Callithrix jacchus: one gene and its partner. The protein of the gene in region 1 purifies or fractionates together with the protein of each later gene. This does not show direct contact. Links are inferred from orthologs where the notes say so. Each region holds a gene or a part of one and is shown on either strand. Other genes may lie near its edges.

Region 1 (4,529 bases):
ATTATGTAGTCAGAATACCTGTGTTCAAATTCCAGCTACCTGTGTGAACTCACAGTTATGTATCTCTGATGCCTTAATTCCCACACTTCCCACTTATAAAAAGGGAATAGGACAGGCACAATGTATCACACCTGTAATACTAGCACTTCGGAAGACTGAAGCAGGTGGATCACTTGAACCCTGGAGTTTTAGGCCAGACTGAGCAACATAACAAAACCTTATCTCTACAAAAAAAATTTTTTTAATTAGCTAGGCACAAGGGTATATGACTATAGTCCCAGCTACTTGCCCGGCTGAGATAGGAGGATCCCTTGAGCACAGGAGGTCGAGGGTGCAGTGAGCCATAACCACACCACTGCACTCCAGCCTGGGCAAAAGAGGCTCAAAAAAAATAAAGATAAAAAGTAGACAACTGTCTACCACATCAATGACTGTAAGAACCACAAGAGATATTATAAGGTACTTAGAATTGTATTTGGCTCATAGTAACCAATCAATGTTAGCTACGTTATTTAGTTGTTACTGATGAACTATGATATACAAATTTTGACAATACCAATCATATACTGTGTTGTTCCCAAATCAACTTTTGTGTAATGTAAAAGATTCATAGAATTTTAATATTCTGCTTCTATATATGCTCAATAAATAGCTACAGAACACGTAAATTTTTGAACAATGACTCACCAGTACTCTTTATTAAAAGGAACTAACTTCTAATTTTGTTTCCTCTTCTAAGAAAAGTAACAATGCTTACCAACTTTCTTCCCCTTTTTATGTCATGTGAAACTATCATCTGCAATACCATATGGTAGTAACATGACAAATGGTGCAAAACACTGTTTTGATTGAAACTCATTTGCCTCCTCCTAAACATCATTAATTCTCAGATTTTAAAATATTGTTATTTAAATGCCAATCATTTGTAGGTCACACCCACACAAAGTAAGCATAACATTTCATGATAGTTGGCCAAGCCATTTCATTTCATACATCTCTTATGGTAAGAACTATAAGACATAAAATGCCATTCTATCCAACTTAACTCAAAGACATAAATCTATCCCTGCAGTCATACCTTTAGTCTTACCCTCACTTAGCTAAAGTTAGAGCCTGTAAAAGTTCTGATAAATCTACGTTATTCTGGAATGCAGAAAAATATCAAGGGAAGAAAGCTGAATGCTGGCAACAATTTAGGCCCCTCCAAAATTATTGAGAAAATCAGCTTTATACAAGAATAGATGAGAACTTATCCTATACCCTTCAGTATTATACCTCTCAAACCAAGATTTTCTCTGTGATTTGCATTACACATAAAGACTTGCCTAGCTTCAAAGGCAGAGGTAAAAAATATACTAATAAAACAGCTGTCATTCCCCACACAGAGAAAAATAACTGTGCTTCTCTCCAATAGTTTCCAAAAAAAACAAAACAAAAAAACTTACGTAATAGACAAATTTTAATTTCATTTAATCCTCGTAACAACTCATAACAACTTCTTATTTATGGAAAATGTCACAGAATTAGTAAGTGGCAGAGCTGAACTCAGCCTGACTCCCAAATTTGGAATCTAGTATTTTTAAACATTTGTTTTTGCCATATCCATAATATACTTTACATTTCCATCTTCCTCTTAACACACAACATATTTTTATGTTGTCAGACAAAACTGCTACAAAAGCTTCTTGCCATAATACTTACTTTTACTTCATACAATGACCTCTGGTATTTTTTTCTTTCTTTTTAATGCTTATGCCAATGTACTAAATTGATTCTAAAATCTATTAATGAATTCTTACAGGCCCAAAACTACAGCACTGCACAACACTTCTTACCTCCTGTTTAAACTTCTTTTTAACTTCTACCACTGTCCAGTTTTGTTACTTTGAGATGGAGCTAATATCCACCCATTCAAAAATCGTGCTTAAATAGATTATAACTCTTGAAAGCCCTACCTTAAATCTTGAATCGATCTGTTTCTCTACAAGAACTCTTTGGAGGCAAAGCCACCTTACTTATTTATATTGTATCAAAAACTGCAGATGTTCTCCTCGGAGAACAACACATCATTGTTGGAAGGAATGCATTCGTTTTCACTGTTCCTGCTGCATCACGGACAGCAATAGCTGAACAGGTTTGTGCAGTAAGAGGACCTGAGCAGCTGCCCACGGTGCTGAAACTGATGATGAAACGACAGTTTTAGAAATTTACTATTGTCAGATTAGGACAAAATACAGGAATTTACCAGACACTGGCAGAGAACACTGAGTGGCTGCCACCAAAGTTGCGTGAGTGCTTCCGGGATACTACTGTTTGGCTTCGATGTCTGCGCTCTCTCTCTCGCTCTCTGGGACAAAGTTCTTTAATAAGTGCAGATCAAGTCAAGCGTACCGGCAGAGCTGCTGACTTACCGTAGTATCTGGCCTTAGCAGGGGTCACGTCCTAAACCTGCAAACTGAGCTTCCAGGGGAAAAAAAGCGGGTGGGGGTAAAAGAGAGGAAGAGACTGCCCTCCTTATATTCAAAAACAGAACAGCCCCTTCAAGTCAAGCAATTTGCCCGAGGACGTTGCGGCAGGTGCTGGACCAAGAAAAGCCCTCCAAACATACTTCCAAGGCTCTTGCAGCCTCAAGAAGGGAATGAGAGAAGCAAAACCGGTAACTCAACAACTTTGGACAAACACAAACTCGCGAGATGAGAGGGCAAGGGAGACTCGGCCCTCGAGGACAAGGCTATTTTATTCCTTTTGCAAAAAGCCTAATTCACTCCTCGCCCAGCTCTAGAGGAGCAGTAAAGACCTCAGCAGCGGGGCCGACTCCGAACTCGAGGGCCAGCAAGCGGGGTGTGTTCTCCGAGCCGCCCAATAACCCGCTGCCCGGCTGCCGCCAAGCCGGACAGTCTCTTACCTGGAAGTCTGGCCCCCGCAACACAACAGTCTCGCTGCGGGAGAAGTCCCTACCCTGACTTCATGACTGAATATCCGCACCGACCGCACAGCCAGGAGTACGAACGGGGACGACAACACCGAGGCGAAGCGGAAGTCCCGCCTCACGCGCCTCATTTGTCCACATCCAAAGGCAGAGAAAAACCATTGGGTCACATAGTTGCCTGTTAAGGCTCCTTCCCACTCTCACGCGGAGTCTCTGCTTGCTCCAGTCCCGCTCGGAAAAAAATGCCCAGTTTGCGAGTCTCGTTCTTGGCCGCGTGATCGGTCTTCCCTGGAAGGGAAGGGTAGGGTGGGGCGGGCGTCTGGGGAACTGGAGCGCAGCTGAAGAAGCTGCTTTTGGCAGAGGAAGGGGCAGGCTGGCAGAGTGGATTGACTGTGGGCGCCTCCCGCTGACCGTTTGCCCCTAGAAACGGAGGCAGTAGGGTCTGGAGGGCGCGGGACTGAGCGGGCAGGGCCCGTCGGCCTGATCCGCTCTGGCTGTTGGGAAGGAGTAGCCCAAGATCCCGCTGCGGGGATGCCCGCGGGCGGGCCTGGCTCTGGCGTCAACGAGTCTCTTCCCTGCACACTACACTCACCCGACCTACTAAAGAGACGAGGGCAAGGCCTCATCGCCTCCCGCACGGTGTCCAAGTCTGAGATCAGAGTGGGTGGGGCCGTGGCCACACCCTAAAGTAGGCGTCAGATTGTTAGAAGTGAGAGCAGCCGGAGGTCTGAACGCCAGTCCCCTGAGACCTGGCTCGGATCCGCGCTGACATCAGCACTCTGAGCCCGACGCGCGCCATTCCCGGGGCTTAGCAAAAGTCAAACCATGTGATTCAGGCCGAGGTCAGCCTTTTAAAACCCTTGCCTCCTTTTGATGAACCAAAAATCTCCCCTGCCGCCCTTCTGAGAAGCCTTCCTTTCTGGTTGTGCCAATCTTAAACCAGAGGAAACTTAAAATTACCGGACTGTACCATCCACACTGATTAATCACTGCCAACTCGCCACCTTACAAAAGCAGTGTGACTTAGTACAAAGATTATAGAGTTCTGAACTAAAATATCAGGAAACATAGAATCAGGCCCTACTTCTTCTTCAAATAATAAGGCACTTTTAATAAGACCTTTACAGGCTTCAACTCCTTCAAAATCATCTTTTAAAAATGGTAGCAAGGAGGCTATCACATAGATTAGTAGAATACCATTGGATGTAACTTTGTAACTTTGATTGCTTGGAGAACCCTGAGTAGGTGGGACACAGTATTAAAGGATAGACTTTCCTTATTGTGTATCCGTTAGTGCCTTTTGAATTTTGAACCTTGTAAATATTACCCACTTAAATAAAATTCAAATATAAACAATTTAAAATCAAATTTTAAAAAAATTTAAAAAGCTATCAAAGCTACTTTCCTCTTCTGTGTATCCTATGACTGTTCTATGTAGTTTCAACTTTTCGTTGGTTGTGAAGACATTCAAAACTTAAATCACAATTCTGCCTTTAAGGAAGTCATAAATAAAAGTCAGCATTGAGAAAATTACTAAGAAGACTAGTGTAATTAATATAAACATTTATAATATCTCTATTAGCATTTTTTCATTAAATTA
Region 2 (3,802 bases), on another chromosome or scaffold:
TGGGCGACAAGAGCAAAACTCCAAATCATAAAACAAAACAACAAAGAAACCCCGTTTGTAGCTAGAAGCCTACAGAAAAAGAACTCTGCGGGCCCGATGGTCTTCCTCGTGAACTCTCTACAGTCTTTGTGAGATCACTTGACGATGAAACCGAAAACTACACCAAACTCCATAAACACAGACGCGACGCCCTCAGCAAAACATCCACACGCTGCAAGACACCCACCCGCAGCACTCAGGCAGGAGGAGGCGCGGAGCACCACTCTAGGAGCGCAGGAGAGGTGGAGCGCCCGACCCAGGGCCCGGGCTGCCTCGTGCAGGGGGTGGGGTGGGAGTCTTGAGCGCGTGGGGCCCCGGAGCCGTGCGTCAGCCTGGGGTGAGCAGCACAGCAGGAGGAGGAAGCCCCGACTTGCTGAGCGAGCTTGCGCTGCTGAGTGGGCTGGCGCAGGTGAGGGGCTCACAGCTGCAGTGCGGGCATCCCCGTCCTTGAGCCCTCGAAGCCCCAAGGCTCAGCCCTGAGGATGAAGGCCCAGGAGAGGCGGCAGGAGCCAGGGCGAGCGCCGCGGCCTGGGGCTCACCTTTTTCACCAGGAGGCAGACGTGGTGGCCCTGGATGGAGCGGCTGTACATGGAGGCGCAGGAGTCCACTCTCTCCACAACTGCAACAGAGCGGGTGGCTCAGGCTCCCCACGCACCGCACAGGTGCAGCCGCGCCCCCACTGCAGGGGCCGCCTTCCCGGGGGCTGCAGGAGTACAATGTGGCCCCTGGGAGGCCTGGGGCGTGAACAGCAGCCCCCGAACCAGCTCCCAGGCCATGGGGCCACTAGCCACCCGGAATCCCAAAGGATGAGGCCGCAGGCCCAGCTCCAACAGGAAGGGATGGCTACCACGGACGCGAACCCCGTGCAATCCATCAGCCCCTTGCTCTCCTTACCGGAAAAGTGGTGGTGAAAACAGATCTTCGCCAGAAGGTTCTGGAAGGACAGCTGAATGCCGTCGACTTTGACTGAGCTCATGCTCAGGTCCCCAGACTCCAACAACTTGGCAAAGGCGTCGCTGTGGGAGGGACAGGGAGGCTGACTCCGGTGGGGCCGGGATCCTCAGGGATCCTTGAAGATGTGCCTTTTCTTCACGTGTGGAAGCTCTGACCCCCAGAAACTGATAATGACTCGTCTTTAAAGAGGTCACAGAGGTGCCTGAAGCCATGGGGTGGGCCTCTTCCAATATGGACGGATGTCCTTTAGGAAGAGACGGGACGCAGGCCTGCGAGAATGCAGGGGGCAGACAGTGCCGCATGCCAAGCCCAGGAGAAGCCTCAGGAGGAGCCCACCTTGCCAGCTCCTTGGTCTCAGCCCTCCAGGCTCTGGGACTGCCAGGAGCCAAGGCCTCTCTGGGTGACGCCTCCCTGCCTGTGGTTTCAATTACTCTGCCCCAGCTGGCACAGATGCCAGGCAGCCTGACCTGCACTGACCACCTCGAAAACCATCTCTAAAGTCCTGCCCAGAAGCCTCAGGCCCTGGGGCACAGGCGGAGGGGAGGCGGAGGCAGAGCGGGGCGGTGGCGGTGGGCGGTGGCAGGGCCCACCTGTAGCAGGGCGTGGTGACCAAGTACGAGCTGCAGCTGAAGTGCAACCTGAAGTCCAGCTTCTCCTGGGTCGCACCCTCGTCATTCTGCCGTGGAGCAAAAGCAGCGCAGCTGAGTGGGGAGTCGGGCCCAGCTCAGGCAGGTGGCCCACTTCCCATCGGGACACTGGGACACCCACTGGGATGGGGCAGAAGCCCCAGCCTGCAGAGCCTCCCCGACGCCGAGTGGAGCCTGCACACCTTGGCGATGAAGGACAGGGTCCCCTTGAGCTTCTGCGCCGTGACGACGCTCTGGATAGTGAACACGAACTGGGCTTCGTTGGAGACGCCTGGCAGGGGTGAGAGGGAGGGGACCTGAGATGCAGCCGGGGCTCAGCATGGGTGGGGCCCCTGTGTGTGTCCTCAGTCCTGAGTCCTCTGTGGCTGATCAGGAAGCTGGGCTCAGACCCCAAGGGAGCACCATGGGACAGAAGCAGAAACAAGAGTACTGGTGTCCCCAGTTTGGCCTGAACCTGGTCCCATGCCCATTTCACAAAGGGAAGATGCAGCCACTGGAGCCACAGAACCCAGGAAGGCCCCAGCCCACAGTCCAGCCCTCAGGGCTCTGGCCATGTCGATCCAAGGCCACCGCACTTCTCAGAGCTGTGGCAAGACCCCGACATTCAGGAGGCACTAGGGTGCAGCCTGGGGACCTAGGGGACGTAGGGGGGTAGCAACAAGAACAGCAGATCCCACCAAGCTCCCACAATCCCCAGGGGAGGCCGTGAGCAGGGCGAGGCTCACCTGGGGGCAGCTGGAAAGGCACAGGGACGCCATCGTGGACGGAGGAGCCCTGCGGCCGGGCCATCCTGGCATTGAGTGAGTCCAGCACGCTGAGCTCCATGCCCTTGAGGACACTGTTGCTCCGGTTCTCCAGCACGATGGCCACAGTGACCTGGCTGTCCTCCTGCAGGCTGCCCCGAACGTCACAGGTCTGCGGGCACAGCCAGTGTCAGCAGGGCAGGTGGGCCACCCGCAGGGAACAGGCACAGGCTCCTGCCTCTCAACGGCCATGGAAGCACAGACCAGGGCCCCCCAGCCTCAGCCGGAGTGCCTCCCGTGGCTGCTCTGTGACACATGGCAGGGACCCTCAAACCAGCCCAGGCCTCAGGGCATGTCTTCCACCTCACCTGAGCCAGAGGGGCTGCCAAGCAATGCCCCCGCAGGGATCTCGCTCCCTGGGCACACCAGCATGCAGGACTTGGGGACCTTGCCAGGTTCTGCACAGTCCCACGCCAAAGAGCATGCGCTGGCCAGCCCTGCCCCAGGGAACGGAGCAGCCGCCACTCACCATTTTAATGTAGGAATTTTCAGCAAGGAGGGAGTAGCTGGACTCAGGCTGGAGAGAAAAAAGTCACATCAGCCTCAAAGGCCAGGCCCTGGGCTCTGTCGCAACAAAAACTCCAGTGCTGCCCAATACCCCAGGTCAAACGCCACGACTCCAAGAACGCTTGGGGCGAGGGGGCTTCAGAGGGGCCTGTGAGGGATCCCTGGCTCCCAGGACCACACAGCCCACCACGGGGGTGCTGAATGTGGGGCCGCGGGACCAAGCCAGGCCCAACCAGCTCAGCTTCTTCTGGAATCTGCTCCCTTCTCTCCCGCACGGAGGCAGCAGGAGTGCGGAGCAGCCCGCAGCCCGCCAGGAGCCCTGGCGCGGGGCGGGGGCGCTGAAGTACCCCTCACCGGGAGCGGCTCCTCCTCTGGCGCGCCGTTCTGCACCGGCTCCCGCGCCGCCTCCCCTGCCGCCTCCTCACTGCCCGGAGGCTGCTTCTTGGACTTCTTGCCCTTGGTGCGCTCCTCCTTCTCCTTCTTGTGCTTCTTCTTCCTAGGCTTGGGGGATTTCTGGAGCAGGAGGAGGGGCCGTGTCAGTTCCCAAGCCGCTCTCGTGCGTCCTGCTCACAACACGAGGTGGGAGCCACAGGCCGGGCTGCTCAGGCTGAGGGTCCCACATGCCTGGGTGGGGTGGCAGGACCAGCCCCGCCTCAGGCCTACCGGGGCCCAGCCCAGGCCAGACCCAGCTTAACAGAGGCCATGCTGTCCCTAATTGGCAGCAGGCTGGCCAAAGCAGCTCAGGGAACAGTCCCGGCTGACCAGGGAGCCACGCGGGGCAAACTGGCGAGGACACCAGACCTGATGCAGCAACCCATGCCCACGTACACACCCGAGAGGGAACACACACAT

What was found.
Region 2: the proteins of RNF13 (region 1) and AP3D1 purify together in Homo sapiens (affinity purification with mass spectrometry; 3 studies listed by BioGRID and IntAct, counting the BioPlex papers as one, with this or other methods). This does not show direct contact. The link is inferred for Callithrix jacchus from reciprocal best matches to the Homo sapiens genes RNF13 and AP3D1.

What each region holds. Positions count from the first base shown.
Region 1 is NC_133518.1:35,453,657-35,458,185, forward strand, and holds the start of RNF13 (E3 ubiquitin-protein ligase RNF13), read right to left. Parts: upstream 3,031-4,529; 5' UTR 2,906-3,030; intron 1-2,905. UniProt on the Homo sapiens protein: E3 ubiquitin-protein ligase that regulates cell proliferation. Involved in apoptosis regulation. Mediates ER stress-induced activation of JNK signaling pathway and apoptosis by promoting ERN1 activation and splicing of XBP1 mRNA.
Region 2 is NC_133523.1:1,989,287-1,993,088, forward strand, and holds part of AP3D1 (AP-3 complex subunit delta-1), read right to left. Parts: intron 3,464-3,802; coding exon 3,305-3,463; intron 2,961-3,304; coding exon 2,913-2,960; intron 2,556-2,912; coding exon 2,366-2,555; intron 1,912-2,365; coding exon 1,823-1,911; intron 1,670-1,822; coding exon 1,584-1,669; intron 1,056-1,583; coding exon 934-1,055; intron 659-933; coding exon 579-658; intron 1-578. UniProt on the Homo sapiens protein: Part of the AP-3 complex, an adaptor-related complex which is not clathrin-associated. The complex is associated with the Golgi region as well as more peripheral structures.